Linked DNA regions of Diceros bicornis minor. The protein of the gene in region 1 interacts with the protein of each later gene in a pairwise test. Links are inferred from orthologs where the notes say so. Each region holds a gene or a part of one and is shown in the gene's direction. Other genes may lie near its edges.

The links.
Region 2: the proteins of TMEM79 (region 1) and PLP2 interact in binary tests that used the Homo sapiens proteins (3 or more experiments, as listed by UniProt). The two-hybrid records come from large-scale screens. The link is inferred for Diceros bicornis minor from reciprocal best matches to the Homo sapiens genes TMEM79 and PLP2.
Region 3: the proteins of TMEM79 (region 1) and CLEC7A interact in binary tests that used the Homo sapiens proteins (3 or more experiments, as listed by UniProt). The two-hybrid records come from large-scale screens. The link is inferred for Diceros bicornis minor from reciprocal best matches to the Homo sapiens genes TMEM79 and CLEC7A.
Region 4: the proteins of TMEM79 (region 1) and TNMD interact in binary tests that used the Homo sapiens proteins (3 or more experiments, as listed by UniProt). The two-hybrid records come from large-scale screens. The link is inferred for Diceros bicornis minor from reciprocal best matches to the Homo sapiens genes TMEM79 and TNMD.

What each region holds. Positions count from the first base shown.
Region 1 is NC_080743.1:59,879,345-59,886,863, forward strand, and holds the start of TMEM79 (transmembrane protein 79), read left to right. Parts: upstream 1-4,510; 5' UTR 4,511-4,635; intron 4,636-5,395; 5' UTR 5,396-5,438; coding exon 5,439-6,198; intron 6,199-6,473; coding exon 6,474-6,687; intron 6,688-7,519. Other genes in the region: nonsense-mediated mRNA decay factor SMG5, read right to left, coding at 2,820-2,893.
Region 2 is NC_080781.1:42,378,983-42,386,402, forward strand, and holds the start of PLP2 (proteolipid protein 2), read left to right. Parts: upstream 1-4,399; 5' UTR 4,400-4,526; coding exon 4,527-4,622; intron 4,623-5,938; coding exon 5,939-6,091; intron 6,092-6,196; coding exon 6,197-6,292; intron 6,293-6,821; coding exon 6,822-6,912; intron 6,913-7,115; coding exon 7,116-7,138; 3' UTR 7,139-7,420. Other genes in the region: PDZ domain-containing protein MAGIX, read left to right, coding at 1-2, 768-1,075. UniProt on the Homo sapiens protein: May play a role in cell differentiation in the intestinal epithelium.
Region 3 is NC_080756.1:52,031,404-52,039,078, forward strand, and holds the start of CLEC7A (C-type lectin domain family 7 member A), read left to right. Parts: upstream 1-4,673; 5' UTR 4,674-4,824; intron 4,825-5,818; 5' UTR 5,819-5,887; coding exon 5,888-5,990; intron 5,991-7,675.
Region 4 is NC_080781.1:93,661,298-93,668,248, forward strand, and holds the start of TNMD (tenomodulin), read left to right. Parts: upstream 1-3,932; coding exon 3,933-3,980; intron 3,981-4,145; coding exon 4,146-4,277; intron 4,278-6,951. UniProt on the Homo sapiens protein: May be an angiogenesis inhibitor.

The sequences.
Region 1 (7,519 bases):
GGAACTAGACTACTGGGGTTCAAATCCTGGCTCTACTTCTCACCAGCTACGTGGTCCTGGGCAAAATATGTAACTTCCTTATGTCTCAGTTCTCCCATCTATGAAATGGGAATAACATTATCACCTACTTTGTAAAGACTAAATTAGCTAAAACATAAAGCACCCATAACAGTGCCTCGTACATAGTAAATGCTCAATAAGTATTAGTCTCCATCCTTCTTGTTATAAGGCTGAGGAGGAGACTCCAGACACTAAGAGAAAAGACCAAGGAAACTACAATGGATGGCTAAGAAGTGCCAGAGATAGATGTCATCTCTGGAGGGTAAAACCCGGAGGATGACAAACAGCAACTGTGAAAACAGGTGGATCAGGCATAGCTCTGGACACAATAGCAACCAAAAAAACAGGGAGTGATGATTCCCCAAACACTCCAAGATTGTTTTAGAATACTGAAACATGTGCTCCTAGGCCTGGGAAAGTGGGCCACAGCAGGCTAGCATCCCGTGGTGGCTCAGGTGGTACACCACTAAAAGCCACCCGTACAGGGCAAAGGGAGCGCCAGCACCAGCTAAGTGGGTGGGATGGCAATCAAGGCCTTCTCACAGGCAATCTTGAGAGCTCAGCATTTCTCCAAACACGTTCTGGGCTGCCTGGAGAGGGGAGCCAAGCCCTTTTGGCCAGCCTGGCCCTCGCTGCCAGAGGCAGCATCAGGCAGCCATCAGTGATTTACTCTATGCCAGCTGAGTCCCCAGAGCAGCACTCTTAACTTCAGTGCCATAGATAGATTTAAGGGGGGGGGGTGTGTGTGTATTTTTATGGACAGGCTCCAGAGCTCTCCTTAGATTCTTGATCCAAAAAAGGTTAATAACCACTACTCTAGTAAGTTCTAATTGCAAATTCTTAAACCTGAAAGGACTCAGCACTTTTTTCTCCATTCCCCATCAGACAATAAGCTCCTCCACTAAACTGTAACCTCCTTTAGAACAAAAACTATAAAACTAGTCTTGTGTCTCACTCACTATTGTAATCCCAGGCCTAGCACAGTGTTTAAAAAAAAAAAAAAAAAAAACACTTTAAAAAAAATGGTTAATTGGGTTAATTAATTAATTGGTGCTTGTGTCCCTTCCCGTATCCTCTCTCCTGCTGCTTTTTCTTCTGAGGGGCTTAACACATTTCAGAATTTCATTTCTGTAAACAGATTGTGGGAATTTCCCAAATTTACTGAAGCTCAGAGTGACAGTTTCGTAGTCTTAACACATCTATCTTGGGCAGAGAAATCAGACCTTCCTTCCCCAGTTCCTTCTACCAATCACCATTGCTATAGTAAACAGCAAAAACAGAGACCTGCTGCCTCAAATTTCCACCCTGCTCAAAGCCAACAACACACAATCACAGGCAGAGATACCCATGTGAACATACATGCAAACACATCAGCTTTAGTCAGTCAGTCCCATGAAGGTAGTGGCTTCAGAAAGAACTAGACTTGAGAATGATTAGAAGGATGACCAGAGCCATTACCCAAAGCTGGAGACAAGGAAGGAATCTTGCAGACACTGCCCACGCTGTCTGACAGACAGCGCTGACACTCGGCAGCATGACAAGGCACATGTGCCACCCTCAGTCAACTCCTCACCCGCCCGGAGACCGCTTGGGGCAGCCCACAGTGGGAACCCAGGGGCTGCTGGACTGGATCACTTTTCTATTTTTGGAGCAGCCTATACTCCCCTCTGCCTTCTGGCTTAATAAGCCAGAGCAGGCAGGATGCCTACTCAAGAGAGGAAAAGACAACATGCTCTTGACTCTTTCACTGCCAAAATTGGGCCCATGGCTCTAAGGGTGGTCTTCTCATGCAAACACCTCTGTTCTATAGAGCTTGAGCTAAAGGAAAACTCAAACCCTACTCCCTACTAGAAAGCAAAAAACTCAACTTGGTCTCTGTGCTTCATCCTATTTTGACCCAGTTCTAGAGCCCATGTTCCAGTTGCCCCACACAAAAAATCCTCAACCCAGGGTGGGAAAAGCTCATACTGGCCTGTTCCCAACAAAGGGTTGAAGAGCTGAAGACGTGACTTAAGGAGTGTGAGTGGCACTGTGGAAATCAGAAACCAGGAATGTAAGCTGCCTGGCAGGAGACTGTAGTCATGAGGCTGGGAGGCAGGGAGGACTTAGAAGTCCCCAGCTGCCCTGAACTGGGCATCCATGACCTAAGAGCACTCTGGACTCAAAGTCCTTCCTGGCTCTTCCAGTCTAACACACCTAGTCTTCCAGCCTCTTTCTTTTCATTCAGATTCCCAAAACTTAGAGTCATAAGAGACTTCAGAGCATATCCAATTCAAATCTCTCCTTTTAAGGATGAGGAAACTGAGGCCCAAGGTCACACAGTGAGAGGGGCAAAGCAAGGATCTGAACCTGGTTCTCTTGATTTCAGTCCAGGGCTCTTCCCCGTAAATCCTACAAGGTTCTAAGCACCATTCCCTTCCGGGTTTTTCTCCATCTGTGACCCCACCCTCACCTTCCCAACCTCTGCAGCCCTCAATTTTCACTTTCTTACCCCAAATCCGTCAAGTTCGGTGCCCGCCCCAAGCTCACGGCGGAGGGGCTTCCTCCACGTGCTTCCCTCCAAACCTCCCACCCACCCAATTCCTTCTTTCAACTCCATCTCGGGTTACGGGGCCCCGCCCCCCCTGCTTCCTCCAAAATTGCACCCTCCTCCCTCGCACCCCAGCCCGGCACCGGGGCCCCGCCCGCCCTGGAGGCCCCGCCCCTCGCTGTCCCCTTATTTCGCTCAGCGGCTGCATTTACGCCCCGGCCCCTCTCACCGGTAAAGCCGCTTAGTGTGGAGGACCTTTGCTTCGGGCTCGCTGCTCTCCCCTGGGGGGGGCCCTTGGCTCATGGTGCCCAAGTCCGGGGGCGGCTCCCGGTCACAGGCCCCCACCACCCACCACTGCCGCCACCACTGCTGTCTCCGGCCGTAGCCGCAGCCGCCACCGCCGCCGGCCCTGCTCGGCCGCCATCGCTGTGAGGCGGCTGCCCGCGACAGCTCCTCCTCCGCCGGCCAAATCTCGCGATAGCAGCTGCACAGTTGCGGGCCAGTGGCCTGCTGCTACTAAATCTCGCGAAACTAGTTTTCCCTCCCGGGAAGTTGCCAGAACTAACTCTGGGCAGCGTGGCCTCTTTCCGGCTTCTCCGAGCACTTGCGAAAAACTTTATTGACAAAGGTGCCAGCGAACGGACAGTGGACTCAGTGAGGGGGCTGAAGCTAAGGTGGATGGGACAGATGGGCTCCCATGGGGCAGATGGGCTCCCAGCTAGGAGCGTGACTTTGCTTTGTCCTACAGTGGCCATTTGGTCCATTCTGCTGCCCCTTCACCCCTCCCCCCCAATATGAGCCGAGCCTCTTTCAGATTACTGGTTAGAGTGATTTCAGTTCTCCCCTTTTTCCATTATTTAAACAAACAAAAAAACATGTATGTGAAAATTTCCTTGGAAAGGGCCAAGCATAACTTAAGGGTAAGGCCCTCTAAGACATGACTCTTGTACTGGCATCTTGGCCCTTCAGCTCCCTCGCCCCCAAAGATTTCCACTTGCATATCCATCTCTCACCAGTCCAGCAAACATTTATTGAACACCTGCTGTCTTCCAGCCACGATGCTGGGTTCTGGAGACACAGAGATGAGCAATCCAGACACCATCTGGGCCCTCACAAAGCTTAAATGACTTGAGAGATAAGGTCCCACAGGAATGAGAAGTCACTCCCTCACGTATCTGCCCCCTGGTCCTCCCATTGGAAAGATCACCTTGGATTCCTATTGCTTTCTTAACCTTAAACCTAAGCTAAAAGGCAAGGTGTTTGGGGGGGCCTGTGTACATGCTGTAATGGGAACATAAATACCACCACCACCACTATGCTCCTGATTCCAGCCACCAACCTTCTTTTTGTTCCTGACATAGCCTAAGTCTTTCCCACTCGTTGGCCTTTCATTTGCTGTTCCTCTGCCTGGAACACTCATACTCCTGATTTCTCATCAGATCTCAGCTCAAATGTCACCTTGGCAAAGAGGTTTTCCCTACTGAAATTGTCTTCTTTAGCTGCTAGGCTTCTTTATTATCTGTTACCCCAATAGAACAAGCTCCTTAAGGGCAGAGACCTTGCCTGTCATCTTGTTCTCTCTTGTGTGCCTAGAATAGAGCCTAGCTAATAATAGGTGAACAAATAAGTGTAGAAATTTCACCTCTTTTCTGGGTATCTCAACCTACTCCACACACCCTTGGATCCATAAACCCACTCTTCCCCCTCTCTTTCCTGAGCTGGAACCTCCTGCACATCCCATGTACCTAGAACACACATTTACCTCTGTGCCCAACTGCACATTCCGCCCCCCCCCCCCTTTCAGAAAGGATGACTCCTCTAATGCTTTTTCTGTCGGCCGATTCAGCAGGGCGGGCCCTGCCCCTTTAATCTGGGCCCCACCTGCTCTGGTCAGACAGGTTTGGAGACACAGGTAAAGGAGGGACACCGAGAGGAACACTTGCAGTGCCAGCAGGGAGCTAGGCAGCTTCTTCCCGGACACTGGGGACCCACTGCCTCTCTCCAGATGGAAAATAAGAGGGTGTCATGGGTCCAAGCGGCAAGAGGTAGGAGGCTCTTGAGGAGGTGGTGGGAGGGGAATCAACCCCATCCAGAAGCAGTGAGATGGAGGATGGCAGGGAGGGGAGAAAACAGGAGAGGCAGCATGGGAAAAAGCCGTGATTAGACCTAGAAGTCAAAATGGACAGACCCAGGCCCTCCGGGGATGGAGGAGGTGGGCTAGTGAGGACTTTGGAAACTGACCAAGTACCCAGATTGGAGAAGAAAAGAACAGGGTACACTGCTACTGCCAGCTCTTTGGGACAGATTTGTTGGCAAATCATTGGTATCATTTGCCAGGAGAGTTCCAAGCAGGGAACTGCAGGGAGAAGGGGAGGTTTGAAGGTGAAGGGGCAGCTTCTCTGTCCACAAGATCCTTAGTGGGAAGGAAGCTCTTGGCAAAATTCTAGACATCTTCTCTTCCTCCCATTCCTGCATTAGGGTGGCCATGACCCCAGGGGTTTTGGTGGAGGGGGATAGAAAGCGTGGGTGGGGGCTGGCTGAGGCCACAGCTGCCAGGGCCTGTGCCCCTTGACTCACCCTCTGCTGGATGGCATTTGATGTCGAAAGGGTGCCTCCATTTCAGCTGCTCACTTCCCTCCGCCTCCCTCTGTTTCAACACCTTCCTGCATACCATGTTCTCTCTAAGGTCCCAGAAGGGGCTAAAGCCCATGAGGCCAGCTGCCCTGGAGAGTTCCAGTTCTATCAACCCGTCCTAAGGGCTAGAGGACAGGAGCTTCTGACAGAGCTTTCCTCTGCTCTCTCCAGGGTGACGTGACCTCACGGTAGACCCCAGAAGTGAGGCCCCAGGATGACAGAACCCGAGACCCTGGCCCTGCTGGAAGTGAAGAGGCCTGAGGCCCCAGAGAAAAGCCCACCCCAGGCCTTGGTCCCCAATGGCCGGCAGCCAGAGGGGGAAGGTGGGGCTGAGTCCCCCGGAGCTGAGTCCTCCAGAGTAGGGTCTTCAGCTGGGTCTCCCACAGCCAGAGAGGGGACTGAGGATGGTCTAGACAGCACAGTAAGTGAGGCTGCCACCTTGCCCTGGGGGACTGGCCCCCCGCCCAGTGCCCCGTTCCCGGATCCCCCTGGCTGGCGGGATATTGAGCCTGAGCCCCTTGAGTCAGAGCCACCCACCAAGCTAGAGGAGTTGCCTGAAGATGATGTCAACCTGCTTCCTGAGAAGGCAGCCCGGGCCTTCGTGCCCATTGACCTACAGTGCATTGAGCGGAGGCCCCAGGAGGACCTCGTCGTGCGCTGTGAGGCAGGCGAGGGTGAGCACCGCCGGACCTTCCTGCCCACCCGGGCCACCCACCCTGAGCCCTCTGAGTGCAAGTGGGCCGAAGCAGTGGTGAGGCCACCTAGCCGCTCCTGTGGGGGCTGTGGGAGCTGTGGGGGCCGAGAGGGGCTGAGGGCCGTGGCCTCAGTGGGAGCTGCCCTCATCCTCTTCCCCTGCCTGCTGTACGGGGCATATGCCTTCCTGCCCTTCGATGCCCCACGGCTGCCTACCATGAGTTCCCGCCTCGTCTACACGCTGCGCTGTGGGGTCTTTGCCACCTTCCCCATCATACTGGGTGAGCCTGGGCCCTGTGAGAAGGAAGGGGCTGTCTGGGAACTGGACTTGAGGTCAGGGCCTGCCTGGCTTGGGGAGCAGGAGAGTTTCCCTTCACTCAGCCCAGCCCCCTCAGGGCCTCCCACACCCTGCCACCCTGTGTGCCCATCTCCCTCCAGGATCACCTCAGCCCCACTGTGTAGGGCGCATGCCCATGAGCTTTCCATTACGAATTCTGCCCCCAGCTTCCTGCCTACTGCTCCTGTTCTGACTTATGTGTTCTCCAACCCCACCCAGGGCTCCTGGTGTATGGGCTGAGCCTGTTGTGCTTTTCTGCCCTACGGCCCTTTGGGGAGCCACGGCGGGAGGTGGAGATCCACCGGCAGTATGTGGCCCAGTCGGTCCAGCTCTTCATCCTCTACTTCTTCAATCTGGCCGTGCTTTCCACCTACCTGCCCCAAGATACCCTCAAACTGCTTCCTCTGCTCACCGGTCTCTTTGCCATCTCCCGGTGAGTTGGGGCTGGGGGTGGGGCACAGGGGAGGTGATGATGCTAGAGGGACCCAGGCATCTGAATATCTGGAGGGCCAGAGACAGGGAACTTTCTGGATTCTGCAATAGCCCAAATGTGTACCCTGGAGAGCTGAGTCCACTTTCTGCCTTGCACCTTACCTCACCTGGTAGCAGGTGATCAGTCACATGTCTTCCCAAGGGAAGTTGATTTCAGAGATACATATACCAACCTAGAACTGCAAGGGCTTTCAGGTGTCATGTCGACCAACCTCCCCTCATTGCAGCCACTCCTCTGTGGCACTCTGGTCAGGTGGCCATTAGCCTCTAGTTGAACACCCCCGGTGACCAAGTGCTCAATTCTTTATAAGGCACTCTGTTTCATTTTTCAAAGGTCTTAATTATTAGAAAGTTCTTCTTTATATTGTGCTAAAGACTGCTGCACTTCGGGCCAGCCCAGTGGGGTAGTGGTTAAGTTCACACGCTCTGCTTCGGCGGCCCAGGGTTCATGGGTTTGGATCCTGGGCGCGGACCTACACACTGCTCATCAAGCCATGCTGTGGCAGCGTCCTACATACAAAATAGAGGAAGATGGGCACAGATGTTAGCTCAGGGCCAATCTTCCTCACCAAAAAAAACCCCAAAAAAACAAACAAAAACAACCCTGCTGCCCTGACTCTGTCCTCTGGAAATGCCTAGGACAAATGCAGATATTTGACAACAGCTCTCAATTCCCCTACTCCAACACACTGCTCCCCTAGTGTTTACTTTGCTAAGTGACCCTGGTCTCTTTACTGTCCTGGGTCCATTCCTTTAGGAAGGAAATTCTCCTG
Region 2 (7,420 bases), on another chromosome or scaffold:
TGGTGGGTTTCTTAGGGAAGAGGTGTCAGGGATCTGTGAAGGGAAGGAGAGAGTGGCAGAGTGGAGAGGCTGGGGTCCTGGGTGGGAAGGGTTTGGTGGTCTCAGTGGGGAGGGTCGGTGGTTGATGTCTGTGAAGTGTCATGGTAGTCTCCAAAACCGCGGGGGGGGCGGAGGGGGGAGCTGGGCAGGGAGTAGGGTGTCAGGATAGGTATAAAGGTGGACTTCTGAGGGGAGACTTTCTAGGTACTGGGCCAGGAGAGGAGGGAAGGGGTCTGGGGTAAAAGCGGGTGTTCAGAAGGAAGAGTCATAGTCCTCGGATGGGAAGGCAGAGTGGGTCCCAGCGGGGAGGAGATGGGATGGGGATCTAGAGGGTAGGGGGTCTCATTCTGAAAGAGGAGGGGTCCATAAGGGAAAAAGTCGGGGTCGAGGGAGGTGGGTTGAGCAAGGGGAGAGTCTGAGGTCCTAGATGGGAGGGATTTGGCATCTCGAGGTCAAGGTCAGGGTTTGATTTCCTTTGGAGATTGTGGGAAATGCTTTCTGAGGGGTGTGTTCTGGATCCAGTAGGGGAGGGGTCTTGGGAAAGGAGGTGTCAGGGGTCTTAAGGAGTGGTGGTGGTTCCTCAAGGGCGTGTCCAGGCCTTGAAGGGAGATTTCTCTAAGGAGCAGGATCCCTGCCTTTGCAGTCTCCCAGCCACCCTGGGCCAAGGGGCCCCGCTCTCTGTTCCCCACCCTATCACCCAATCTAACCCGCAGTCTTGCCATCCCCAGATCGCAGCCCAGATTCTGGGGGACCAAAGGTGATGAAGTCTCGCAGCGCCAGCCCCTCCCTACTTCAGCACCCTCGATCCCATAAGACGCCCCAAACCCGGGGCAGCCCAGAGCCTAGCCCAGAGCGAGCGGCCGACAGCCCCGCGGTTCCTCCTCCTGAGCGCCGCACGGAGGACCCTCACGACCGAACTCCGGGTTCCCCGGGACCCTGGCTGGTGCCCAGCGAGGAACGGCTCTCGCGTGCCCTAGGGGTCCCGGGGGCCGCGCAGCTCGCCCTGGAGATGGCAGCCGGCAGGCGGAGGCACTGAGCATGCATCGGGCGGCTTGGTGCTTACTTGGTACTGCCCAACCTGGATCTGGCGTGCTCCGCCGGCCGCGCACTAGCGTGGCGGGGAGAGCTTCCACTTGGTCTTGTTCCCCCTCCTGCTGCGCAGTCGACCAGCCCGTGCTCCCCTCGCGGCGTCAGTGGCACAGCCCTCCCGGACGGGCCAGCCCTGCGCTTCTTGTTTCGGGCGGGGGAGGTAATAAAATGGTTTGATCCAGTCTTGACTTTCCAGGGGCTTCTGGCCCGGTGAGGCTCCCGAGTCCACCTGGTAAAGAGGGTGTGGGTCGATCTGGTTTCTTCTTGCAACCATTGACAAGCTTACTTCGTGTTATTTCTTTCATGCCTCTAGAGGGGTCCTTGCTTCTGCCGGCCTCAGCCCAGCGTGCTTTCTCCCCATTCCGTTTCTCTTAGCAAACTTCTGCTTCTCTCCCCATGCATTCATTTCACTTGTTGGGAGGTGTTCAGGGCTCACAGATAATTATTGCGCGTGGCGTGTGAAATGTAGAGGTGGGCCTGTGATGGCGGGAGTGCACCAGTATACAAAGAGCCCTGGCCCGGAATCGTCCAGACACTCAGCTGATGGCCGGATAACAAGGCTAGAGCCACGGCGGGCGGCTTCCTTCGCCAGGAGCCTGCAGTCTCTCACTTCTGGTCTGGTTGGCCAGCTTTCTCTGGCACGTAGACTGCCACCCTCAGGGCATGGGCTGGGGCCCTGGAGCCCCCTTTAGGGCGGAGCCAGGAAGGTGTGAGTCAGCTGGCCGGGCTAAAAAAGGCTATTACAACCTTTGGGCCGCACCCCCCTCTTCCATAGATGGTGACAAACTGCAGCCGGGCTTGTGTGCACACGCCACATGCTGGGCGTTCCCAGTCGTGGGAGAGGCCCGAGTTTCCTCCATCCTGGGAACAGAGCTCAAAGCCGGGGCTTATATGGCCAGTGGGACTCCAGCTGGGGTAGCCCCGAAGCAGGCACTGGCCAAGGCCAGAAATGTCCAGTCACCTCTGCTGTCACCACATCGTGAACACTTGTCCCCATACACCCAACGAAGGAAGCTGTGGTCAGGCCAGAATGGGCAACTCTTACCCCTACAGGGAGGGGCCGGGGACAGGTTAGAGAAATTAAAAGACTGGAGTGTGAGTGTCCAGGGTGGCTGTTGGGGAGCAGAGAGGGACTGCAAAACCAGGCTGGGAGTTAGGGTATGAAGAGGTGAAGAGGTGAACCCTTGAAGGGTTAGCACTGTAGACGTTGTGGGGGAGGGCGCTGGAGCTTCTAGCTGCCCCTGACTCAGACCCTGGTGGAGGTGTGGCCCCACGGAAGTCAGGAAAGGGCTCCAGAGCCCTAGTACTATAAACACAGTCACACCTGGGAGACTAATATTAGTAACCCCAGCCACCATTTACTTAGCCTTATCCCTGCTACTGGCTCTACTTGCAGTGTCTATTTTCATCTGGTTACACATCTACTCAATAATCCTGATATGTCCATTTTAAACAGAGGAGGGAAGTGAGGCTCAGAGAGTATAAGTAGCTTGAGGGAGGGAGTTTGAAACAAGATTTAATCAAGGCTCAATTCCCAAACCTGTCCCCTTAATCTCACCTGCATTTGACAAGTATTAATTGAGCCCCAACTGTTTACCTTGCACTGTGATAGGCAGTGGGGAGATGCTGGGGGAAGGAACAAAGATTTCTATCCTTGTGTAGCTGATGTGTGTGTGGGGGTAGACAGATGTCAGAAAATACAAGAAAATGCATAAATAAAAGATAATTTCAGAGGTGAGAGTTATGAAGATAGCAAAAGGAGGTTATGTTAGGGGAGGTAATGATGGTGGGCTGCTGGCCTCTTTGAAGACATAACATTTGAGCTGATACCCGAATGATCAGAAGCCAGATGTATGAAGAGCTGGGGGAAGGGCATTGACAGCAGTGGGAACAGCAAGTGCAAAGGCCCTGATGCAGGGCAGAGTTTATTTTGTTCTAGAAACTCAGGCATGTCCTCATGCCTCATTTCCACCTTTCCAGAGGTGGAAAGCACACACAGCACTGGGAAAAATATGTTTCATCTCTTCCACTATCCAATTACTCTTTTGGCAACCTGGGATGGAAGAGGGGAGCAGCTTCCTTGGTTTGGAGGGGCTCTGGGTTGCGGGGGTAGCAGGCAGGCCCTTGGCTTGAAACATCCTGGCCTTCCAGCCATGACTCGCCCCTCCTCAAATGAGATGAGAATAAAACCAACATCCAGTCTGGAAAGCATGCCCCTCAGCACATCTCGGGGGAGATTCTGATTCCCGTGACCAGGTGCATATCTCAGATGCAGAAATCAAGGCTGAGTTAGAAGTTGCTTGTTCAGGATAACACACTCTTCAAATGTTGTTGGCCTTGTCACCCAGCCTGGCCCCTCAGGAGCCTTCCCCTCATTTTGCCAAGCTCCCAGCAATCAATAAACCTGTGCTTCTTCCCCATTCTTCATCTAGGGTTGGGCTCACAGCCCCTCTCCTTAGAACCAGGAAATGGAGGCCCAGCACTTAAGACTGGGACTTCCTCAGGATTGCAGACCCTGGGCTCTGATTCTCTTAATAATGTTCACCCGCATTTACAATGAGCAGATTGATGCTCACCGGGCCCTGTTCTCTCTCAGCCTGTGCACCGGCATCGTCTCGTTTCCATCACCGCTAGGAGGTTTATTCCACAGTCCACGATCTTTTATCCAAAATTCTGAAGTCCAAAAAGCTCTGGAAACCAACAGTTTTCCCACACATTGGGCATCATATGGTTCCAAAACATGACCTGACTTAACCAGGAGCAATTTTCAGTCCTGGCTTATCCCACTTACTGTGAACATCCACATCTTTCCTTGAGGAAGTATTAAGGTGTTTTTTTTTTTTAAATGGGGCAGCCTCAGACCCTGCTGAGGGTAAGTAATGCACGGTATAGGAACCGGGAAAACTTTCTAAAATTCAAAATATTCCAAATTCTGGAAACATTCCTGGGTTTAACCATGGCCTCAGCCGCCGTTTTTACAGCTAAGGAAACTGAGTCACTCTCTCCCAAAGCGAGATCTCCGCGGTTCTGAGTTGAGGCAGCCCTGGGAGTATTTGTATTCTAAAAGTGCGAAGGGTCTCGCCATTACCGCGCATGGGTACTCCGAACTGCCAAGCCTCAAAGGCTGGCGCCCCGGGAGATGGGGCGCCCCGGGGGCCGTGCGCCGGGAGGGGAATATCCTTGGCGGGCGGGGCGAGGGGGCTTCCGGGGCGGCAGACACCTGGTCCGGCCCCCTCCGGCCCCGCCCGCTTCTGCTTGGTGCGGTGATTCACTCCCTCCTTCGCCCCGGGGCCACCTTCCCGGCCAGACGGCGGGCAAGACGATTGGGTGTGCAGCGTCCTCGAACCCGTGAGCAAGCAAGCAGATCCTCCGAGCTCCTAGGGACTCCGGCCCACGCCATGGCGGATTCCGAGCGCCTCTCGGCCCCCGGCTGCTGGGCAGCCTGCACCAACTTCTGGTGCACCCGAAAAGGAATTATCCTGTTTGCTGAAATCGTGAGCGTCCCGGGACAGGCGGGTGGCCAAAGGCGGGGTGGGGTGGCTGGACCACGCAGAGCCGGGAGGGCCCAGGTGAGGTAGGCGCGTGGCCGGGGGCGCTCAGCAGTGGGGCGCAGGTGGGTGGGTTAGTGGCGGAGGCCAGAAACCAGGGGCGCAGGGCGAGTCAGTCGGGTTTGGAGAAGGTGGTCGGGAGCTGCTGGCCCACGGGGTGAGGCAAGAGGCCCATAGAGCATATGGGGGGGCCCCATGGAAGGAGACTGCGTGGACTCATCTGTGGACTCATCAGAGGGGTCCCAAGGGGCTGGGAGGTGGGAGCCTTCCGTGGCAGGGCGTGGCGCGGCCTGGGCACTGGCGGGCGGGCTGGCAGCGCGCCCAGGGGCGGGGCCTCTTGGGGTGGGGCCCTGCGCGCTTGTCCCGCGGGGTAGGGTGCCCCGCCCTCCGCCAGTTCTTCCTCGCCCTTCGGTGGTAGGGCGGGAGGTCCTTAAGCTGTCCTGGCCGCTCGGCAGCCTCGAATTCTCGCCCTCCTCAAAGTGGGCGCCGCCTTTGAGTCACTTGTAAAAGGGGTGCGGCGCCTTTAACCGAGCCCTGTCCCTCCAGTGTCGCTCTCACCGCTTCCCAAAGGGGTTGCCGGGGGAACCGCACGTCCCGCCCCGTGAAGGCCATGCAGCTGGCCCCAGCAGTGCTCGCAAAACACCTGGCAGCGCCACCCCTCTCAGGCCACCCCTGTCTTAGAAGGGAAAAGGGGGGAAACTGAGGCACCCAACTCTACCCCTCACTAGCTGAGTGACTGTGGGAAAGTCACTTAACCTCTCTGTGCCTCACTTTTCTCATCTATAAAATAAAGATACTAGGGGCCCCCTGGCATAGCGGTTAAGTGCACCCACTCTGCTGCTGGCGGCCCGGGATTCAGATCCCGGGCGCCCACGACACACCGCTTGTCAGGCCATGCTGTGGTGGCATCCCATATAAAGTGGAGGAAGATCCGCGTGGATGTTAGCTCAGAGCCAGTCTTCCTCAGCAAAAAGAGGAGGCTTGGCATGGATGTTAGCTCAGGGCTGATCTTCCTCACACACACAAAAATAATAAAATAAAGATACTAGTAATAGTATCCAGCTCATGAGGTTGTCGTGATGATTAAGTGAATTAATTCTTGTACAGCTCTTAAAACAATATTTCGAACACAGTGAGCACACAATAAGTGTTTAGCTATTGTCATTTTCCTAGTCCTGGTAGGCATCTGAGACTCCCAACTTAAACCAATCCCCTCAGCCATGGGAGCTGATCGAGGCCCCTTTCCCGTGTTATCCTTCCAGGTGTTGTGCCTCGTGATTCTGATCTGCTTCAGTGCCTCGACAGCAGCATTCTCCTCCCTGTCGGTGATCGAGATGATCCTTGCTGCTGTCTTCTTTGTCATCTACATGTGTGACCTGCACAACAAAATACAGATCATCAACTGGCCTTGGAGTGTGAGAAAGGGGCCGAAAATGGCGAGGCTAAGGAGGGGCCTGGGCAGTTGGGATTGTCTGGGGAACTCTGGATGCTGACTTTCCTCTTCTCCCTACCCCTCCCAGGATTTCTTCCGAACCCTCATAGCGGCCATCCTCTACCTGATCACCTCCATTGTCGTCCTTGCTGCGCCAGGAAGCCACTCCAAAACCGTCGGAGGGGTAAAGGCCGTGGAGGCAGCTCCAAAGCATAGAGGGGTTTGAGGATCCAGGGGTCATTTCTGCCTCTGGCAGAAAGTGTGTGACCAACAGCCGGCCACACTTGTTCTCAGAGCCTGAAGGAAAGTCTGGCCCAGGCGCTGGTTTTCCTCCCGAGATCATCATTTGCTGTAAAGGGCCATCCCATGTCTGAAACAGGGACCTCTGTGGGAAGCACAAAGAGGCGGCCCCTTTGTCAACACACTAGACTACCATCTGCTAGAATCTGTCTCAAATGTACAGTATTAATGGTATCTCCTGTATGTGGGGCCACCGTGTGGCTGCCCTGTTTTAAGAGGTACTAGGAGGAGGGAGGCTGGGACAGAGTCCAGTCTCCTGGCCTTTCTCTCTGGCTCTCTGGCTTCCCGACCTGGGGCTTTAGTCACCATCCCTGCAGGGTGCAGTCACTGGAGGTGGTGGATACAAAGAGTTAAGAGACTGAGTAGGCTGACTAGCTTAATCCAACCCACTTCACTCCCATCTCCACCCCCAGGTACTGGGCCTAATCGCTGTGTGCCTCTTTAGCTATGATGCATATGTCACCTTCCCCTTGCGGCAGCAAAGACATTCAGCAGCCCCTACTGGTAAGTGTGTGTGTGTGTGTTTCAGCGGGGGGAGGGTGTTGAGGAGAGAAGAAAAGGGGTCTCCCAAGGGCATGAATGCCAACTCTGTCCCTTATTGGTACTTATGGCTTTAGTGGCAATAAATAACATAAGCTTCCGTATTCTTGTCTGTAGAATGGGCATATGGATCCAGCCAATGCTTTCTCTCTTTTCCTCACTTGCAGACCCTGCAGATGGCCCGGTGTAGGTGGACTCCCTTCATTGCTCTCTGCAACCTGCAACTAACACCTCTATCAAAATAACTCCTCCCACCCCTACAACACTCCCAGCCAGCTCCCAGCCCCCTATTGAGGTAAAAGTGCCTTTATTGGGAGAATCTGTCTCTCCGCTTGCCAATCAATCCTCCTGGGTGTGGCCACCTTGACTGGTGAGCCTAGGTCCCCCTTCCTTCTGCAGTATCCAAAAGGAGACACCAGTTCTGCCTGGACTATGCCCCCACCTAAGCCACAAAATGAGGGAGGAAGGCGCC
Region 3 (7,675 bases), on another chromosome or scaffold:
CAAACTGGTGCAGCCACTATGGAAAACAGTATGGAGATTCCTCAAAAAATCAAGGATAGAACTACCATATGATCCAGCTATTCCACTGCTGGGTATTTATCCAAAGAACTTGAAAACACCAATTTGCAAAGGTACAAGCACCCCTGTGTTCATTGCATCGTTAGTCACAATAGCCAAGACTTGGAAGCAACCTAAGTGCCCATCAAGGGACGAATGGATAAAGAAGATGTGGTATATATACACAATGGAATACTACTCAGCCATAAGAAACGATGAAATCCAGGCATTTGTGACAACATGGATGGACATTGAGGGTATAATGCAAAGTGAAATAAGTCAGAGGGAGAAGGTCAAATACCGTATGATTTCCTTCATTAAGTAGTAGATAATAACAACAATAAACAAACACATAGGGACAGAGATTGGATTGGTGGTTACCAGAGGGGAAGGGGGGAGGGAGGAGGGTGAAAGGGATAATTTGGTACATGTGTGTGGTGATGGGTTGTAATTAGTATTTTAGTGGTGAACATGATGTAGTCCATGCAGAAATAGAAGTACAATGATGTACACCTGAAATTTTTACAATGTTATAAACCAATAAAAAAAAAAAGAGTAAAAAAAAAAAAAAAGAATACCACTTACTCAGTTTTCCTTATTTGTAACGACTCATTATGGAATATTTCTGTGTTTAAAGTGTAGATTTAAAATAAACATTGATAGCATTGCACAGTGATTATAAAGTCAAATAAACAGAACTTGAGCTACTTCAATGGTCCTTCTATGTGACCATTTGTAATTATTATTTGTATTTATACAATTTTTCAATTTGCAGAGACATTTGACAGCTTCTAAAATTGATCCTGAAGAAATAAAGACATGGGCAATATTGTAATTTCTGGAATAATTGTGAAATAGGATTTTTTAAATCTTTGCCACACATATGCTATGTATACATCTTTTTCCTATTTACCTATTTGTGGCTTCAGTGAAAGAAACTTTTCAGAATTAAAATGAACAAAAAGTGGTCTTCAATCAATAATGAGCAAAGATAAATTGATGACTCTGGGTACACTATCTAATCAATGTGAACATGTGAAAAAGATTACTTTTGACAATGTCATTGGCAAATTTTGAGAAAGTAAGGGTCCAAAACAAAAATTGTAATATTATTATTTATTATGGTGACATACCTATATAAGGGTATAAATTCTTTCTCCCTTTCCAAAAAATATGTTAATATGATTGAAAATATTTTATCCATATAATTAAAAGTAGTTTGTATGATAATATTTATTTTATGTCAATGCACACATTTATATGCACTTTTATTTTTACTGGTCTGATTTTATATATCAAGTTGAATAAAAACTATTCACTACCTATATTTGTTTTCTGGCCGTTATTACCATTTATTCCATTTCATGATTATTACTGAATATTATTTTTTTATATAGAAGAGAGTGAAGTAAAAAAGAAAAAATGAGGGGCCTGCCCAGTGGCGTAGTGAAGTTCATGCGTTCCACTTCCATTGGCCCGGGGTTCGCCAGTTTGGATCCTGGGCGCCGACCTACTCACCGTTCATCAAGCCATGCAGAGGTGGCGGCCCACATAGAAGAACTAGAGAGACCTACAACTAGGATATACAACTATGTATTGGGGCTTTGGGGAGAAAAAAGAAAAAGAGGGAGATTGGCAACAGATGTTAGCTCAGGGCCAATCATCCTCAAAAAAAAAAAAAAAGAAAGAATGAACTGCTCCAGGTGTTGAATATGCGGGATACACCACGGTTCAAGGAACTCAAGGAGTCATGAGGAACAGAGTTATAAGCATCTAACAATAAGAAAATACCACATAAATATCATCTCTTCCTTGAGAAGAATGGGAAGTTTTAAATACAAGTGCCATATGAGACTGATGTTTACGTGCACTATATACATTCTCTCCTCAGTAAAACAGTAGAAGAGGGGCTCAAAGGAGGAGGGATAGTAGAGGTTATATGTGGTATGTGGACAACGTAGCAAACTGGAACCAGGAAACCACTGGAACAGTAGGGTAGCTGGAGCATAAACAGAATCAGAGAAGAGAAGGTGGATGGGGAAAAGATGGTGAGGGGCACATTTTCACTATGAAGTATCTATTGATTATAAAGAGAGCCTTTGGTTTAATCAAAAATTTTTAGACACTCTAAGAAAGGACTCAATATCAATTACTTCATTTGTAGAAAGCATAAAAATAACACTGAAAGGGTGCTGTGAATAAAGCTAAGTAATTTTCGTGGTGTGCCCAAACCAGGGGATACATACATAAATGATTTAAGTAAATTTTTTTGTCTGTATCCTCCAAATATGATGTGGAACCAATCAGGGTGGGGATTGGGCCTCATGCTTCCTTGTATCTAGGCTTCTGAGAAGATGGTAAATGTTCAGTAGATATTTAATTGCTTAACGGATAGATAGAGGAAGGAAGCAAGGGAGGGAGGAAGGAAGGAGACTCAAGTTAGCATTCAAATTGGAGGTGAAATTTGATCAGCCCTGAGCTAACATCCATGCCAATCCTCCTTTTTTTTTTTTTTTTTGCTGAGGAAGACTGGCCCTGGGCTAACATCCATGCCCATCTTCCTCCACTTTTATATGGGATGCCGCCACAGCATGGCCTAACAAGTGCATTGGTGCACACCCGGGATCCGAACCCAGGCCGCCAGCAGCAGAGCACACACACTTAACTGCTACTTCACGGGGCTGGCCCCTGATGATTTTTTTTTTTTTTGAAACTTATAAACATTAATGGGGACGGTACTTTGGAATGTTGGTATCCTGAAGACTTACATTTTTTTTTCTACAATGGTTCTTAAGTGAATACTTAGTTTGTTTTTAATAATCTTGTTTTCTATTTAATTAATTTATTCATTTATTTCTATAAGTTTGTATATTTATTCATTTCTCTTTATTCATTTATTTGTATAAATTTTCCAAAAAGTCACATTGGATATATGCCTCAGGCTCTCTTGTGTTTCTTTTTGCTGGTCTAACACTCTTTCTAGTGCATCTATCAAAATAGATATTTATTTGGGAAGAATTTTATTTTTTGAGATTTAATTCTGAAAGCAAATACTACTGTTAACAACAGCTTAATATTTGTAGAAATAAGAGCATGACCAGGCTAATTTAGCTATTCTGAATGCAGTTCTTTCGATTGTTTTATTGACATTATATTCAATCTGACTCAGATTCAATTAATTGTAGTTTTAGTTTATAAAATGTGTTTTTCACTTCTAAGAACTCTTCTCAGATTCCTCATTTTTCTTTGAGGAAAAAACTTGCTGTATGGATGCAATTTTTCATCAAATTTTCACTGAGAATATGAATTAGATAATTGTTGTTTACTGGGTTTTGTTTGTTTTGTTTAGGTTGGTTTGTTTTTCACCTGTTTCTTACATTAATGTTTAACCAGGGGTAGTTTTCTGTGAATACTTAGACTGTCTGTCTCCAACCCTCCCCTGCCCCTTGAAATGCTAAGGGACTTTTTTTCCTAGTTTATCCATAATTTGTGTAATCGCTGTTCAATTGTTTTAGTCTCAGACAAAAAGAGAAGACTAAAGTTTACATTTATTGAAAAAATTTCAAGAGCCAATTGTTCTTGTAGGATTGTGATTAAATAGAGGAAAGTAGTCATAAAAAATAAAGTTATTACGTCAAGTTCTCTCATTGGAAAGTCTGAATTGACAGTAAAAAGCCAGCCTCTTTTTATTGCCTGGAAGGTGCTCTTCTCATTGTTGTTCTCTAGTTTTGTTTAGTAGGCTCACTTCTTCCTTGAGCCAATTTATTCACTCTGTGAAAAATCCCCTGCTTTCCAACTATCCTCTGCTTTCCGAGGGCTGCATTATAGAAGTGAAAGCTGATGAACTGATGGATGTTGAGATTAGATCCACCTTACTACTTTGCAACGTGTCTACAAAAAGTTAGTAAAACTTTTGTGGCAGCCTGGGTAAGACGTAGAAACTCACTTATTTTCCATTGCACTCTCTTCCATTTGGACATGTTGTTAGTGAGAACTGCAGAACTCTCGGCGTATAACACCTCCGTCCAAACCTCTGCACTAAGAGACGTGACAAACTCCGGCATGGCTTCTAACAGCTTAAGGCTGAGTCCCTAGCGTCACCCCAGACCCCCGTAAAATGCCTACTTCAGAAAGCTCAATGCTTCCAGGAGAATTTACTGTTTGTTCTAGTCAAAACTTGGTGATAGACAGATAGGCAGGTCCCTGGAGCCCCTCTTAGAGCAGTTACTTTAGAAAGCTTGCAATTATAGATCCTTTCTCTGCCCTTTGAGATGTAAATCTACCACCCAAAACAGTTTCTTCAGGACCTGAGAGCCATCTCTTTGAAATGCAACCATTCAGGGAGTTAGGGACTTTTACTCTCTGTGGGAAGATAGGGGCTTAACTTCAGAGGGGGCCACCATCCTTCAACATGCACCATTGCCTCCTGTCATAAAAGCAGAAGTTCATTTCTCTTCTGGAGAGGCACCAATTAACAAATTCAGATGGCCCAGTCACACGGATTAACCCCCCTTAATACCACTCAGTGCCTTTCCCTTCGCATACTCCAGCCTTTAAAAAGTCTCCAGTCTTTGTTTTGGGGAAGTTGGGTCAGTTCATGCTGGGCTCTCTTGTCTGTTGTAATAGTATTACTGAAGGAAATCTGTCTTGACCGCTTTAATGAGTGTCTGGCGTGGTCTATCTTTGACAACAGTCAGATGTCTCCTTCATGCTACTTGCTTCAAAGACTTGTAAACAGGTTGGATACCTCTGTAGTTTCCAGCAGTGGTAAGTGTTTTCCGTATCTCATTAATTTGGACATTACTATGGAAATTGGAAGAGAGGAAAAAAATCAAACATTTAGCATAATATTTCAGTGCAAGAATCCTCCATAACTTCTTACTTGCAATATAAGTGTATGGAATGGTGAAGGAGGCAGTGTAGCATAACAGAAAAGATCATGAGTTTTGCAGCGAGTAGACTTTGACTTGATTCCTTTCTTCAATATTCTTATTAGCTTCTTAAAATTGAGCAAGGGACTAAAATTTCTATGTCTCATTTTCTTCATTTGAAAATAAGAATAATACCTCCCACATAGACTTGTTGGAAAACTGAGATTGAATGAGAAAACATGTGTAATGGGTAGTACTTAGCTCATAGTAATTGTTCAATAAATAATTTACCACTTCATGTTAATCTCTGACAAATCCCAAAGAGATTTGTTTCCTCTCTCTGTTGTTACAACAGTGCACCTCCTTATGGCATCCTTCATATACCTATCTGTAGGTTTCCTGTTATTAGACAAAGAGCTTCTTCACAGGTATCATTTATCCTTGTATCCCCAGCTCCCGCCAATTGAAAAGATGGGCATTCTGAAAATGTTTACTGAACAAGCGACTACACGAATAAGTGAATTAATGTATAGTTATAGCGAAGTATTGGTGAACTCGAGGTATCAAAATTGTTTAATAGTTTATATAGACCAAGTCAATTAATGATGTCAAATTCAGTTGTGAGAATAATGAAAGCAGCATAAGACATTAGTCTCTTCATTTTTCTCACATTTTGTCTGAAACAAAGATCTATCCATTGTGCTGCCTTATTATTTTTTTAAGAGTCATTAGTCTCAGAAACAGGATCTAAAGATACAAATGGGAAATTGCTATGGCAGAGTTTTCGTTTCCTGCTTTTGGATAGCTGGTTGGACAACTTAAGCTCTTGTTCAACCTCAGTAAATACCTCTCCCACATGATTTGACTCATAGATCCTCTTTTGTCCACAGGCAGTTGTCTTAGGAGAAGAGAGAAAAGAGCTCTCAAATGCTGTGTCAACTCGGGAACCCAGGAGAACAATGGAATACCACTCTGAGTTAGAAAATGTGGATGAAGATGGATATACTCAATTAGACTTCAGCTCTCAAGGCATCGCCAGGAGACGTGTGGTCTCAGAGAAAGGTATTTTTTCTTTCTGCCTTCAGCATTCTTATTCTCATCAACTAAAACCCATAAGGGGAGAAAATATGAGAGACTTGTGATTTGTAGGGCTTTTATTAATATGTTTTAAAAGGTTTTCAGAAGTCATTGAAGATAATTTGAATGTAACTAAGCCTTTTCTCTTGGCAATCATTCAGTGACTAATAACTAGTATGTAAATTAATTATTCTGATGGCAGAAAATACAATTTCTCTGCTCTGTAGAAACAGACACTTCAGCAGTAAGGACCTGTAATAAGTGTGATGAAATGCAGAGATGAAAGAATTTCAACAGGAGTGGCTTGTTGTTGTTTGATAGAGAGGAGTAAATTGTAGAATGGAGGTCGAGGAAACTTAAATAAGTGTATATGAACAACATCAGGATATTGGAGAGAAGAATGAAAAGATGGGGGCTGGCCAGGTGGCATAGTGGTTACAGTTGATGCACTCCTCTTCGGTGGCCCAGGGTTTGCCGGTTCGGATCCTGGGCGTGGACTTATACAATGCTCATCAAGCCAAGCTGAGGCAGCATCCCACATAGAAGAAATAGAAGGACCTACAGGGGCCGGCCAGGTGGTGCAAGTGGTTAGGTGTGGCGCTCCGCTGAGGCAGCCCGGGGTTCGCAGGTTTGGATCCCGGGCATGCGCCGACGCACCGCTTGTCAAGCCATGCTGTGGTGGCATCCCATATAAAGTAGAGGAAGATTGGCATGGATGTTAGCCAAGGGCCAGTCTTCCTCAGCAAAAAGAGAGGAGGATTGGCAGATGTTAGCTCAGGGTCTATCTTCCTCACAAAAAAAAATCAAAGAAGGACCTACAACTAGGATGTACAACTGTGTACTGGGGCTTTGGCGAGAGAAAAAAAAAGAGGAAGATTGGCAACAGATGTTAGCTCATGGCCAATCTTCCTCAAAAAAAAAAAAAAAGGTTCCAGGATGCCATCTACGAATTAAAAAAAAAAAAAAGAATGAAAAGTTGGAAGATAGGTGAGGGAAAAAAGCAAACTTTTTTTGTGATAAAGGCCAAAAGGAAGTCAGAAGTCATAGAGTTTAGAATCCTGAATCTGATATGATTTTTATGGTAAGAAATGAATTTGGATTTTTTTAAACAAAAGGAAGTTCTATGTACACCGGTGAAAGAAAATATATATTAGATGAAAAGATCCCATTAGCAGGGCAAGAGTCTTAAACAAAATATAAAAGGCGTGAAAAATGGAGAAGGGCATTAAAAGATCTCTCTTTTAGAGAATGAGAGGTTTAGTCCCCTCTGTGATTCTTCTATTTGACAATGTTCTGAAATGCTCCTACTGCTTATTCTCAGTCAAAGGCAGAGCTATGTTCTTGCTATGGTGATGTTGACATAAAAGGAATTCTCTGTTATCAAGAGAGAGATTGCTACAGGTTTTGACATCAGAATTTGTTCTCTTCTTCTTTCCTGTAAAATCACATTGCACAATTATTTTCCTTTTGCCACTTATGAATTCTTTTCTTGCGCAATCTGTTGGGGAATAGTGAAGATACTGGATGATGCAAGAGGTAGGGAGGTGTGTGTGTTTATGCATATGTGTGAACAAACAGTGAGTTACCTACAATGTGCTCATAATCTCTAAACTAGGTGCTTTTATGTGTGTTAGCTCATTTAATACCCACAATAATCCTTTGAGGTATTA
Region 4 (6,951 bases), on another chromosome or scaffold:
CATTGTTTCTTAGAATAAACTTCAAACCCCTTACCATGGCCCTTGTGGCAGAAACTATAAATTTCCTACCCAATATGTTTCCCCCTTATGTAACAAAACCAGGATTTTTGTTAGGAGTACTAATAGGCTGAGTTGAAAATAAAACCGCCCCAGACTCCATTTCCGTTAGGAGTGGCCATCAACCCAGTTCTGGCCAGTAAGATAAGCAGAAACTTACAGGATAGGGGTTCAAGGAAAACTATTACTTTCCTGATGGAAAAAGATGGACTCAGCTATCATGTGTCTCTTGCCTTCCGCATCCTCTCCTTTTTCCTGCCTGGAGGTGGAACAGCCATCTTGGAAGCATGAAGATGGAAGCCACACTCAAACAACCACAGAACAAAAAGATGGAAGCTTGGATCATGGAACTTGCATGAGCCCTGGACTGCTGACATTGAGGCTCCATTATGTCAGAAAAATAAACCCCTTATTTTGTTAAACCACCATAACTTTATTTCTATTAATGCAGCCAAAACGGTCCTAATAGATACAATCTTGTATGATATGGTCCCTGCCTACCTCTTTAGCCTTATCTCAAGCAACTTTCCTCCTCATTCACTGTATCACAACCACACTGACTTTCCATTTACTCTTCAAATACAACCTCTTTCCTGCTTCAGGGTATTTGCATGTGCTGTTCCTTCTGCCTGGAATAGTCTTTTCCCCAGTCTTCACTCGCTAACTTCTACTCATTTATTCAGGTCAGAGCTTAAGGGATGTTTCCTCAGCATGGACTTCCCTGAACCCCCAATCCAAATTAGGTGCTTTCATAGCACCCTTAATTTTTCCTTCTTAGGATGTTTCATAATTTATATTTTTTATTAATTTACAGGATTTTTCCCTTTTAGTTTAACTTCTGTCTCCCAACTAGACTCTGAGCTCTCTAATGCCAAGGTATGTATTTCTCTTGTCCAGTACAAAATATATATCCAGCCCATATAACAGTGCATGCCACATAGAGGACACGGAGTAAACAATGCTAATAAATGAAAAATCTACTGAAATTTCATGTGCTTTGTGCCATTTTCCCTTCTCTCTTGGATCATAATTAATCACTCCTCCCTCTATGCTTCCATGGCATATTGCTTTGACCTCTATTTTAATTCAATCCATTTAACAAATAAGACATGTTTTAAAGGATCTCAAAGTCGGTTCAGGAGAAAAACACATAAAAACTAATTATGATACAGTATAATAAGTGCAATATTTGAAGTATGAGCAAAATACAAAAATAGAACAAGGGAAAGGGTGATGAACTCAATGAAGTGGTAGAGATGAGGCCAGGAAAGGCTTTCAGGAGCTAGTAACATCTAGGCAGCATTTTGAAAGCCAAATGGGAATTTTCCAGGTAGACAAGGGGAGGAAAGGAAATACAAGCAAAGAGTATAGCATGTTCAAATGCCCTGTAGTGTGAAAAAGTAGAGGGTGTAAAGTGTAAAATGTAAAGAAGGCATCGTAGGCATAGTATGAGTAACATTGTTGAGGGGAATCATCTAACACAGTAAACATAAGTTTCTCCATGAGACTACTCTCATGCCTTTCTTTTTTTTTAAGCTTGGCCGAAGAATTGTAAAACAAATAGAACTATGACTTATATTTCATAAGTTACATAATCAATTTCATGCATGATCATGTCTACAACAATCAGAAAATTAGTTTCCATCACGACATTAGGATGTGGATGAAGTCACATATACATGCTCCATGGCTCTGCCCATGGAGATCTGAGACCCCCAGTTGGCTCCATCTCTATGGAGGAAATTGTCCAAAATCAAGGCTGGAGAGGTAGGCAGGGTACAGACCATGAAGTTTCTATGATGTCACCATAAGTAGCTTTGATTTTATGGACAATGAATAGACACAGAGGGATTTTAGGCAGGGGAGAGATTATCCTCAGATTTGAGTCTTAGAAAGATCACCTTGAAGGCAATGGATTGGAGGCAAGGAAACCAATTAGGATTCTATTACAACAGTAAAAGTAACTATGAGAACCTCAACTAAGGCAGTGACAATTGAGGATGGAGAGAATAGAATTGGGGAGATAATGCACAGGCAAAATTAACTAGACTCAATAATTGATTAGGCATGGGGATGGACAAGAGAGGAAGAAATTAAGGCTCATTTGGAGGTTTCTATTCTAGAGACTGATCATTGTGTCTTTTAGTGAGAGAGGTAATACAGAAAGAAGAGGATGTTTGGGAGGAGAGATAATTAATTCAGTTTGGAGCATGTGGTATTTGAGGTGCCTGTGGAATATCCAAGTGGAGATGTCTGGCAGGTTAGATGGACACATGGGTCTGGAGCCCTAAGAGAGCAGCCTGGGTTAGAGATATGGATTTGAGACTTGTCAGAGAAGATGACAACTTAAACTAAGACTTTAGCAGTTAAGATAGAGAAGAAAGAATAACCTTGAAAGACTTGAGAATTTAGAATCGATAAGATCTGGTGAATGGTTGGATAAAGGAAATGTGAAAAAGAGAGAGGAGTGTAGGACAAACTTCAGGTTTCTGGTTTTGGAGCCTGGGTGGGTGATGGTTCCACTGTTATGGACTAAATTGTGCCCCCCCCCCAATTCTTATGTTGAAGCCGTAATACCCATTATCTTAGCATATGACTGTATTTGGAGATAAGGCCTTTAAAGAGGTAATTGAGGAAAAACAAGGTTGCATAGAAGGGCCCTAATACAATATAACTGGTGTCCTTAGAAGAAGAGGAGATTAGGACACAGACATGCATAGAAGGAGAATGCCATGTGAACATGAAGATGGCCATCTAAAAGGCAAGGAGAGAGACCTCGGAAGAGACCAACTCTGCTGACACCTTGATCTTGGACTTCCAGCATCCAGAGCTGTGAGAAAATAAATTTCTGTTGTTTAAGCCACCCAGTCTGTGGTACTTTGTTATGGCAGCTCTAGCAAACTAATGCAGCCACCAACCAAGATTAGGACTATGGGAAAGAAAGTAGGTTGGGGGAAGGAGGTGTTGAAAGAAGAATTTGATGTGGGACATGTTGAGTTTGAGATTCCTGAGGTACATCCAGGTAGAGATATTCGAATGGCTTTGAAATTCAAGAGATAGATTGGGGTTATGGATACAGATTTGGAAATCATTGACATGTAGGTGATATTATAAAATAAACTGTAGGAGTGGATGATGAGATCATCTAAAACGTGTGTATAGAGTGAGAAAATCTCAAGGATAGAATCTAAGGAATATCAACATTAAGGAACAGACTGAGGAAGAGAACCTAGGAAAGGAAAATAATCAAAGAAATAAGATGAAGAGAGAGAGAAAACATACAATTAACCTTTTTAATCTTGTTTTTAATTATAATTAATTGAGTACATACTGATCTCAGCCCTCAAAGAGCTTTGACATAGTGGAGGAGGAAATACTTTATTCATTTCTGAATCTCCAACACCAAGAACAGTACCTGACATTTAATATCCCTGCAACAAATATTTGTTAAATCGAATGGAATTGAAATTAGGACTTCATTCCCTTTTTTGTTTTGTTTGCTTATTTCTGGAGTGTGCAGCATGTATTGCCACTGATATTTTAAGTTCATAGTGAAAAATCATTTCAATGTGTCCTAGGCTTGGTCCCCTTCCAAACCAACCCCCAGGACAATAGTTTTTATTATTACCTTCTGTCTTTGCCATTCTGGATGGAATTCTGTGCACAGAAGTTATATACATATATGGGTATATCTATGTAACAAATCGCAGCACAGGAGCCCCCTGGGCTCCCTCAGGCTCTGGTATGACATATTTGAGCCATATAAATTCAGCTTCTCCTCTGGCATCTGTTAGCCGACTCACTCGCAACTCCACCTCAGCAGTGGTCTCTCAGTTCTCTCAAAGCAGGGAAAGAGTACTGTGCGCTGAGATACCATGGCTAAGAATCCTCCAGAGAACTGTGAGGACTGTCACATTCTAAATGTAAGTTGATTCATATTTTTCCCCTTTTGAGCAGAAGCAGGGTTTCACAGATTTGTCATATTGCAATATGAACATTAGAAAGTGAAATCAAAGGTGACTTTGAATCATGGCTTGCTATTGTAAGGACAAATGTGTATTGTTTTATTCTCTCTCTTCTTTGCTTAGGCAGAAGCTTTTAAATCCAAGAAGATATGTAAATCGCTTAAAATTTGTGGATTAGTGCTTGGTATCCTTGCCCTAACTCTAATTGTCCTGTTTTGGGGAGGCAAGCACTTCTGGCCGGAGACACCCAAAAAAGTAAGTAAATGTACATTATTATCCAATACTTCTGTTTTGAGTTTGATTGAATTTAATTAGTGATTGATATGTATATTACTCTGAAAATGAAAATCATTAAGTCCCTTTGGTGTTTATTTTCTGGTGGTATGAAAAACTGAATCAAGATTTTACTCTCTTTTATTTGCCTAATTATTTTGGAAAGGGAAACAATGTGTTTTCTGTATTTCGGTTAGTAATGATAGGATGTAGAATTACCCATTCTTTTATGATGCTTGGCTTTAAGGAGTTAAAACTCCCCTTAGAAGCAAAATTTTTACTGTAAGAAAAAATACTTTCCATCTTTCTTTCAATTACCTGGGCAGAAACTGATGGAAAAGTAATTATACCACCACATAAGAAGAAACCACCAGAAATGGCAGCAAAGGATTTTCAGGGATTATGTTTCTGACTTAATGCATCTACTGTGAGAACAGGAAGCAGACTCCTTTTCAGAAGGAGCAATTCTTATACCTGAGTTCACATTTATTTATGACTTTAAAAAAAAAAAAAAAAACTAGCGCTGTTCAGCTCCTCACCAGCCACAATTGTCACTGTCCCACTGAGATAGTAATGCCACAAGGTAGAAACAAGTGACACCAAGTCATTATCACAGGTATCTCAGAAAGCTTCTGATATTAGGGTGATTTGGTGAAGCTTGGCTGGCCATTGTAGTTGGTATTAGTGTACCTTAGTGTCATTTTTACTCCTGGGCTCACACGCAATGGGCAAGTTTAGATGTGACCCAAAGAAAATCATAGCGGCCGGCCCAGTGGCGTAGCGGTTAAGTTCACGCACTCTGCTCCGGTGGCCCAGGGTTCGCCGGTTCAGATCCTGGGCACAGACATACGCACCACTCATCAAGCCACGCTGAGGCAGCGTCCCACATAGAGCAACTAGAAGGATGTACAACTATGATATACAACTATCTACTGGGGCTTTGGGGAGAAAAAAAAGAAAAAAGGAGGAAGATTGACAACAGATGTTAGCTCTGGGCCAGTCTTCCTCAAAAAAAAAAAGAAAGAAAATCAGAGTCCCTTCATGCTAACAATTTCCATTTGAAAGAGAATTAATAAATGTACAAGCTACAAGGTGTGAAGATGGTTTTCTGGCTTTGCCACATTTTTCTCTCTGCATGTGGGATGTTGTTGTTGTTACTGTTTTTATTAATTTGTTGTCATGAAACGCTCATTTCTATTTGATAACAGATGTAGGAAGGGAAAGGCACAAATCCAGGAGGGAGGATAGGAAACAAGAAGAAAATGTGCTGTCGTGGACCATTAGGAGCCAAAGGAGCGATAGGAGCACAGGGAAGAATATAGATCAATGAGAAAGGAGAGGCAGAGGGGGAGAAAATAGAAAATCAACTGGACAAGTGTCCAGAAGAAAATAGAGAAGTAAGGCATAGTCACACTTGTGTTCTTCACCTCTGCTGCCATATCCACTTACATTTAGTCCCAGAAGCTACCTTATCAAGTTTAAGTAGCAGGGGAAATGAAAAGCAAACCAGCCTACTTTGTTTGCCTTTTTATTTATATCTTGTTCCAGAAAAGATTTCAGGCATTACCCAATGCCTATTGTTAGTCCCTTCTCTCTCTCTCTCAATCTCTCCCACTGCTCTCTGCTTCTGAACTACTTACTGTTCACATGTCTTTCTAGAAAAGCCACCTATATTCTGGCTAGCAAGGTGGGCAAAGCAATCGAGATCAGGAAGGAAACAGCAAATGAATGAGAGTGCCAAAATGCATTCCGATCCAATTCTGCTACCACTTAGCTAATTCCCAAGGCGGCATGCTGCCCTGCAAATTGAATCTTGGATTCTCTTGACAATCACAGATGAGTTAGAGGACAATAAACCCTTTCATTCTCCATGGCCATAGCGTACTTAACTGAGTGTGGTAGGTAGCTAGCCCTTTTGACCACTCATACATGCCTGCCTAAACATGGGGCCAGATTGCCTGTCTTGTTTTATTGTAGCCATTGGTACAGCAAATGCTATTCTGAAAGGATTCATATATTTTTCTGAACTTACAGTGCTATTTGCCTCAGTGCAACTATAAATCACTAAGTGGGGACCTTTCTTTATCTTGCAAGGTGCCAGACTCACTAACAGGGCCCATGGTCCCCTCTGCTTCCGTATTATATCATCTTTGCTTCTCACTCCAGTTTGCTTTTTTAATGGATTATAAGGAGCAATCCTGTGATTTCTCAAACCACAGTAAAACCTAGTCAGTGCACACACAGAAGAGGTGGGGTATGCTACTGAATAAATTTTATCAAGAATCACATCTCTTGTGAAGTAATCCATCTTGGGACGTAATTTTCGAGAGGGATTCTCAGAAATGAACAAAGTTATTATAAAGTAATTTGGTAAAGGACAATAGTGTCTTGTGGGGCAAGTTTTTCCACCATGAACAAAGGTTGTTTGTTCTCCATTCCAATGGGGAGTTGCAGTTTACTGTCTTTGATATTTAAGTCTTGGCCTTCACCACAAGACCAGGCTGGGTCCATTGCAAACTAAAGAACTAGCAGGAGGTGTGGGTGCTTCACTCAGTCTACTACTACCTTCAATTCCCCGGGCAAAGAGCCTAAGAGACCATCTGTGTTTCCAATGGCTAAGACTGCCAGTAAGCCTGCCTCAGAGCTGACTTATGAA